Sus scrofa: one gene and its partner. The protein of the gene in region 1 interacts with the protein of each later gene in a pairwise test. Links are inferred from orthologs where the notes say so. Each region holds a gene or a part of one and is shown on either strand. Other genes may lie near its edges. The genes, in order: CCND3 and VDR.

The links.
Region 2: the proteins of CCND3 (region 1) and VDR interact in a two-hybrid assay, tested with the Homo sapiens proteins (2 studies listed by BioGRID and IntAct). The link is inferred for Sus scrofa from reciprocal best matches to the Homo sapiens genes CCND3 and VDR.

What each region holds. Positions count from the first base shown.
Region 1 is NC_010449.5:37,179,506-37,183,852, reverse strand, and holds the start of CCND3 (G1/S-specific cyclin-D3), read left to right. Parts: upstream 1-1,390; 5' UTR 1,391-1,775; exon of another isoform or gene 1,776-4,347. Other genes in the region: TAF8 (transcription initiation factor TFIID subunit 8), read right to left, coding at 311-467, 1,250-1,294. UniProt on the Homo sapiens protein: Regulatory component of the cyclin D3-CDK4 (DC) complex that phosphorylates and inhibits members of the retinoblastoma (RB) protein family including RB1 and regulates the cell-cycle during G(1)/S transition.
Region 2 is NC_010447.5:78,217,903-78,221,711, reverse strand, and holds part of VDR (vitamin D3 receptor), read left to right. Parts: intron 1-942; coding exon 943-1,127; intron 1,128-1,508; coding exon 1,509-1,629; intron 1,630-3,809.

The DNA of each region.
Region 1 (4,347 bases):
ATATGGAGGTTCCCAGGCTAGGGGTCTAATCAGAGCTGTAGCCACCGGCCTACACCAGAGCCACAGCAACACGGGATCCAAGCCGCGTCTGCGACCTACACCACAGCTCACAGCAACGCCGGATCCTTAACCCACTGAGCAAGGCCAGGGATCGAACCCGAAACGTCATGGTTCCTAGTCAGATTCGTTAACCACTGCGTCACAAGGGGAACTCCACTAGGTTCTTCTTTTTCTTAAATCCTAATACTCTCTCAAGACAGAGCACAGATGTTTGGTTGACTCAGAAGGCCCCTTGTTTCCTGGTACTTACAGCTCTGCAGCATCTCTGTCAGTGTTTCCACAGATGCTTTCTCAGCGCTCTCAAACCCTGCCTCTGTTAACAGGGAGCTCACAACCACTTGCAGAGTTCGCCTCCGGGCCAGATGGTAGTTATCAGCAGGGTTAGTGGACTGTTTACTTCCTGATCTCTGTAAATCAGCAGCCCAGAAAGAGAATACTTTCATCCTCAGGACGAGGATGCAGTCATGTAGTTCACATATTGTCAATGGCAAACAAAGGTTCTTTTGCTAAATCTTTATGTATCAGTGTGGTAGCTCCTGATGTTTAGACTTACAGCTCTTCGCCAAATAACTGAGCACCCAAGTGGCTCTAAATTCGAAAACAGCCTTTCTGCCTAGGTAAAACTTATCAATTACAATAGTACAAAATGGCCGTTTCCTACTTTCTATTTTGGATTATCTGAATATATAGCTGAAGAAACATGCAGGATAGAATTGAATTCATTGGTCCATCTCCTAGAAAAAAAGTAATCTCTCTTTTGTCCCTCCCATCTCCACACCATTAACGAGGAAAATTAAAACAACAAACAACACATGCTGCTGAGTAGAGGAGGGCAAATGATAAGAACATCGACAAATTAAAAAGCTAAATATTTTGAAACAGGAATCCCTCCCAACTTTGGCGGGCCAATAAGAAGGCGAAAAGAGCCCCACTGGACCAATCAGGAGGTGTTCCGGGTTCCCAACCCCCAACAGAGAATGAGCCAATCAGTACACAGGTCCACCAACTCCCGAGGCCGCCGCCAAGTCTCGAGGAGGAGGAGGGGGGCATATACGGCCTGAAAGACCTTCCTCCACTCAGAGCATGTGGTGGGGCCCTATTTCTGGGTGTGAACATGTTGCCAAGGCTAGGGGGACATTACAGAATCCCCAGGCTCTCTGGGCTTCCGCCCCGCGCCTCCCGCCCTTACCGTTCCGGAGGCCCCGGCCCCGGCAGTGGCCGCCGCGTCGGCCATCTTGCTCTGGCGTAATGTGCGCGAGCGCACGGCAGGATGGGACTTGTAGTCACCCGGCGGGGAGGAACCGCGAGGGGGCGGGGCCGCGCGCCCCGTTGGGCTTTGTGGGGCCCAGCCGGGTCGGGGGTGAGTCTGGTTATCCCGGTTCACGTGACCTGTGAACGGTGGGTTCAGCGAGCCCCGGAAGTGGCTAGGAAAATGAGCCCTCGGTTTCACACCTATTTAAAAACGAAATCGTTTTTCATAAAAAGCACATCCCTGGAACGCTCCAAACTTGCCTGATTGTTAGCCACACCTGGCTAGGTCCGGCGGATCCCCGTGACTTTACTCTCTGGAGGAGGGGTCTTGGGCATCTGTATTCTTAAGTTCTCCAAGTGAGTCTCCTGAGCCTGGATATTTGGGGAAGCTTTGTTTTGTGCTGACGGACCCAGAGCCAGCCAATGGCCCACTTGGAACGAGAGCCAGCAGTCACGTAATCCAGGTGTGCCACTGCATCCGGCTGCCTTCTCGCCCTCAATTAACCCTCAGGTATTTTTGGGGCGAGCCGGGAGGCGTCGGCGGTAGGAGGCTGTCCGGTGCCTGCCTCACTCCCAGGCCGTGGAGTCTACGTAGTGCCTGTGGTTTTCTGCGGTTCACTCGCGGGTCAGCCCCTCTGGATGGGGGTCCTTCATGCACCGCGCCTCGTCTGTCTCCGTTTGCGGGTGCCCGGCAGCTCGCAGAGGCTGGGTTTGAATCTCAGCACTCGCCAGCTGTGGGACTTCGGGCAAATTACCTAACCTCACTTTGCCTCAGTTTCCTCTTTCGTGAAATTAGGGTGGGATGGGTAGCCGCGGGGGAGGGAATAAGCTAATATACACAGAGTTTATCACTGTGCAGACTGAGAGTAAGAGGTCAAGAAGCAGCGCCTAATGTTATTTATTTCTTGCGTGGCGAGTGGATGAGCAGAAAACGCTCACATGCAGAAGTCGGGGAAACCTGCGCCACGCCTGCCCCGCCGCGCGCACCTGAGCGTGGGGGGCGCCCGGTCCCCTCACCTGGGGCACAGGGGGCAGGTCTGACGGTCGGGGTCGCTGCGCGGGGTGAGCCACCCGGAGAAATCGGGCCCCAAACCTGAGTTGAGCAGAGCACCCAGCCCCTTTGTCTCCTCCGCCCCCCCTTCCCCACTTCCTGCCCAGCTTTAAACTCGGGATTGGCGGCGCGGCGCCGACTTTGTAAACACGCCGCGCCTGCGGCGGTGGAGACTGGTTCTGTTTGGGCGTCTGGGGGAGGGGTGCACGCCCCTCCCCGCGGCTGGAGGTGGCGACCCCCCACCTCGCCAAAGACAGAAACCAGAGGCGGCGGCGGGAGAGTGTCTGCGGCCACGGCCAGTGCTCCGGGGGGCTCACCTGCCGAGGAGGTAGGCTTGAAGGCTGGAGAAGCCAAGATAGATGGGTGTCAGCATCTCCCCGCTTCGCTGGGGCCTTCGAGCTGAGGCGGGACACCTGGGCGGGGAGTCGGAGGTGGCGACCTGATCAGCCTCCTCGATGTCTCTCAAAGCTCGGTTCACTTTCTCTCTGAGTTGCAGAGGCTGAAAGGCAGAGAGCTCCCCCAAAGCTCTGAACTTTCTCTGTGTCCACACAGGCCCTCTTCAAACTGATCTGGAAGCCTAGTGACTTCACTGGGCTGTCTGTCGTCCTTCTTCATAATTCAGAGATGGGGTGGGAGGCAGTAGGGGGGCAGACCCAGTGTGGGCAGCGAGCCTTGGGGGTCCTCCTGCCAGCCAGGGCTGAGGGAGGAGGCCAGAGGACTGGAAGGAGGAGCCTCTCAGTGGGGGTCCCTTTGGTGTCTGCGGGTTACACAAGTGACGGCTTTAGCCTCTTCTGTGTCTTTTAATGTGTCAACAAGAGGATTAACTGAGGAAATTGGTTGCTATTATTCAGAAAGCATTACGGTATTCATTTGCACACATTGAGCGCCTAGTATGTGTCTGGGATGGTGTGTGGGCGCTGAGGGTGCAGTGATGTTATTTGTCCACAGTGATCTAGCCTGGGTCATAGAACACCAGAGATAAGGTGCCAGGTTGGGGTGGCTGGGAAGGCTTCAGAGAGAAGAGGACATTTGAGTTGGCTTCTGAATGATGACTAGTCCCCAGGCAGAGGTGTGATGGGAAGTCTTTGCTGGGCACTTATTGATTCTGCAGAGCTGGACTCGCCCCTGACTGTGGCATTGGGCCTTGGAAAACAGTGGGCACCCAGAAGCCGTCTCGGCATTCTTTAACCCACTGTCTAGACATGAAGAAGAGATAGGAATGTAACAGGATGACTTTAGGGAAAGGCATGTGTCCGGGCTGGTCCCCAAGAACCCAGAAATTTCCAGCTGGACGAAGCTAGGAGAGTCCACCCCAGGGGTGATGTAACAGTCCACACAGTCCTGGGGCACCACCCACTCCCCGTCCCTGGATGCTGGGACTGCGTCCTCTACCAAGTCCTTGCACTGTGCCCTTTCTCTTTGGGACCAGAGAGTGAAGAGAACTGGATTCCCCCCATGCTTCCCTGTAGGTTCTTCTGCTTTTTCAGTCCCCAGGCTCCCTTGGGAGATGGCTGACACAGCAATGGATTCAACCATCCAACACCTGTTTGCTGTGGCCACACTGTCTGCACAGGACATAATGGTTGACAAGTCAGAGCCTCTGCTCCCCTGGACTTTAGGATCAAAAGCGACTCTGAGAATTCCAGCAGGAACCTAGTCTGTCCGGTCCTTGAGCCCATGACCTCCGAGTGTCTTCTCTTTGCCATTTCCTTCCCTAAAGGGTCCAGAGCAACAGCTAGGGCTTCTATAGCACTGTCAAGTACCCTCCTAAATGGTTTTGGTGTGATGTCTGGTTTAATTCTTCTGCCCGTCCTGTGAGGTGAGCGCTAGGATCATCTCCATCTTCTCGTTGAGGAAACAGGCACAGCGACCATTTTCCTAAAGAGGACACCAGGCGTAAATGGCAGGGCTGGGATTTGAACCCAGGTCGCTTGACTTGGGAGACCTGGGTCAGCTGACCTGTTCTTAACCATTAGGCCAGTCTG
Region 2 (3,809 bases), on another chromosome or scaffold:
GTGACTCCTCCCACCTCCCCTGTCTCCCTCAGGGTCAGGGAAAAGGAGGAGGGGGGAGGAAGAGGATCTGCTCTGTGCTAGGCCTGCATTCAGATCCCAGAACAGTCTGGTGCTCCACCTACACCCACTTTATGAAGGAGGGAACAAAAAAAGGACTTGGAAGAGATCATATGGTCCAAACTTCCATCGTTCCCACTGTGGCTCAACGGGATCAGCAGCGTCTCGGTGGCAGCAGGATGCAACTTAGATCCTCAGCCCTGCACAGTGGGTTAAAGGATTGGAGGTCCCGTTGTGACACAGTGGAAAGGAATCTGACTAGGAGCCATGAGGTTGCGGGTTCGATCCCTGGCCTCGCTCAGTGGATTCAGGATTCGGCGTTGCCATGAGCTGTAGTGTAGGTCGCAGACACAGCTCGGATCTGGCGTTGCTGTGGCTCCGGCATAGGCCGGCGATAACAGCTCCAATTGGACCCCTGGCCTGGGAATCTCCACATGCCGCTGGTGCAGCCCTAAAATAAAACCGAAAAGACAAAAAAAAAAAAGATCTCATGTTGCTGCAGTTGCAGTGTAGGTCACAGCTGCAGTTCAGACCTTATCCTTGGCCTGGGAACCTCATATGCCACAGAGTGGCCCAAAACAAAAAAGAGAGAGATCATATGGTCCAAATGTCTCACTTTAGAAAAAAGCAAACAAAAACCTGCAGAGTTCAGTTTGTCCAGAGTCAGACACCTTGTCCTTGAGATCCCAGGCTCCCCACCGTCCCACCTCCCACATCCTGTTTCCTCCTCTCTGCCGAGCCTGCCTTTCAACGTGCAACACTGATGGTCCATCCGTCTCGTGGCCTTGGCGTCCCCCTCACACCTCGTGCCTTTGCGCCCTGAGGGAGGTTCCACAGAGGCGGTGCAGGCCCGGCCCCCCTGACTCGCCCCTCCCCGCCCCACAGTCATCCTGACGGACGAGGAGGTGCAGCGCAAGCGGGAGATGATCCTCAAGCGGAAGGAGGAGGAGGCCTTGAAGGACAGTCTGCGGCCTAAGCTGTCGGAGGAGCAGCAGCGCATCATCGCCATCCTGCTGGACGCCCACCACAAGACCTATGACCCCACCTATGCTGACTTCGGCCAGTTCCGGGTACGTCCACCCGCTGGCCGGGAGCATGAGCAGGGCTGGCAAGTGGGCTAGAGGGCAGGGGGATCCCCGCACAAAACCTGGGAAGGGGAGTTCCCGTTGTGGCTCAGTGGTGATGAACCTGATTCGTACCCATGAGGACGTGGGTTCAATCCCTGGCCAGGCTCCGTGGGTTCAGGAGCTGCGGTGTAGGTCGCAGACGCCGCTCAGATCCCACGTTGCTGTGGCTGTGGCATAGGCCAGTGACTACAGCTCCAATTCGACCCCTAGCCTGGGGACCCCTCCCATAGACCCTCCGTGAAACCAATCCTGTCGGAGGTCAGAGCTGAGGCAGGAAGGGGGCCTCCAAATACGAGCTTCTGACACTCTACCTCTCCCTTCCAGCCTCCGGTTCGCGGGGATGAGGAGGAAGGGACCCTCCCCTCCAGGTCTTCCTCCGCGCATGCGCCCAGCTTCTCCGGAAGCTCGTCCTCTTCCTGCTCAGATCAATACACCTCCTCTCCAGGTAAGTGGGGCTACCGCCCCCTCCCCAAGAGCCCGGAGCTTCCCCAGACCCCTGACCTTGGCTGCGGCTGGATGGGCAGCACTCTGTGCTGTGCGGCGTCCTCAGAACAACCTCTTTTTAATGCACACGAGGGTCCACACTGAGGACACTGAGGAAGAGGCCAAGCTGTGGTGGTGGTGGGGGGTCTGCCTGTAGAGTCAATTTGCTTTCCTCTAAGCCAGCCTTCTGCCCCTGGCTCCTTCCCTGGGAGCGACCTGGTTCCTCTAAATGGTATTTTGAGCCTGGGCCTTTGGGGTTTTTCTTTTGTTTGGTGTTTGGTTTTGTTTTCCCCAGTTTTCTTGAGATGTCACTGACATAACATTGTGTAAGTTTAAGGTGTACGATATAATGATTTGATAGAAGTATACATTGCAAAATGATTGCCACAGTAAGTTTAGTTAATCTCACATAGTTACAAAGATTTTTATTTTATTTCCTTTTCGGCCATGCATGAGCCAAGGGCAAGTTCCTGAGCCAGGGATCGAACCCATACTACAGTAGCGACAACGCCAGATCCTTAACCCACTGAGCCACCAGGGAACTCCTACAAAGTTGTTTTTTTTTTCTCCTCTGTGATAACTTAGAGATGTACTCCCTTAGCAACCTTCAAATATAATAAACTGTATTGTTAACTACAGTCATCAGACCCTGTGTCTTTGCAGAGTGAAACTTGGCATGGAAGGAGATGTGGATCCCACCGCAGCCCATCTTCCCCTCAATCCCCGGGGGGGCCAGTAAGGCCCTGGATGACCTATTCCTTCTAGTTCATCTTTGCTTTTTTCTTATGGTCCTTTTCTGCCTTCCTCTTTATCTTCCTGCCTTACCAGCTGCCCTTGCCTTCATCCTTCACCCAACCCAACTGCCCTTTGCTTGGGGCCTGTGGGAGGGCAGGAATGGAAAAGCCCCCTCCCTTCTATGGAACTAGAACCCTCAGACAGGGTACTTCTCGGTTCATTTATGGGTCTGTGCCCGGATCCAGAGTAGGTGGGAAGGGTCCATGCACCAGGTGGACAGAGATGGCAGAGGAGCTGGTTGTCATGTCCACTCACCTGCACTACCACCACACGGGTAACTCATCCTCTGAGCCCCTCACCTTGTAGAAACCTCTCCCCAGTGTTAATTTTCTCAACCCACCTTCCTGCTCCTTTTACTTGCTGGTATATTCATTTTAATCAATGAGGGCCAGTCTGCATGTGATACATTGGTCTGTACTTCAACTTTTAATGGTTTTATTTAGAAGTTTTGACTCCCTCTCATTGGTTAATTTGAGGAGCTCCCCCCTCCGCCATGGTATGTTCAATGTAGCATATGTTTATTTAAAAATTCAAACTAATTAACATTTTTTATTTTTTTAATTATTATATGAAGGTAATACATGTTCATTATAGACATTCAGAAAATAGAAACTAAATTATGTAGATTACATATATTATATAATCTTTCATCACACCACCCCAAAATAATCACTACTGACACTACGATATATCTTTTTCCCAAGTTTTAATACATATGTATATTCAGAAATGGAATCATGCCATACTTAGCCTGCCAACTTGCTTTTTTCTCTTAATAGTGTATTATGTCATATTTTCATGCCATCCACTACACGCCTAGAGTATAATTTTTAAAGACTGCTTAGTATTCTGCAGTATAATGTACAATAACATATCTAAATCTCCTCTCCTTGGATACGTGGATTTTTCTTTTTCCCAGCTTGTTATTAAGTGAACAGCATGCTGGTGGCTAAATATTTGCACTTGCTCTGAACTTTTCCTTGTGCTGAATTCATGGAAGTAGGATTACTGGTCATAGTGTGTACATAGTTGTAGGCTTTGGACCCTCATGGTCCAATAACTTTCCAGATTACTTACACAAATTTATGCCTCCTTTAGTACACCAGCACTGCACAAGGATTGCCTGATTCCCTGCATCTTTACAAATACTGGTATCAACATTGAAAGGAACTTGTGGAGTTCCTGCTGTGGCACAGTGGGTTATGAATCCAACTGCAGCGGCTTGCAGAGGTGTGAACTGGCACAGTGGGTTAAAGGGTCCAGCATGGCTGCACCTGAGGCTCAGATTCAATCCCTAGTCTGGGAACTTCCATATGCTTTGGGTGCGGCCATAAAAAAATAATAAAA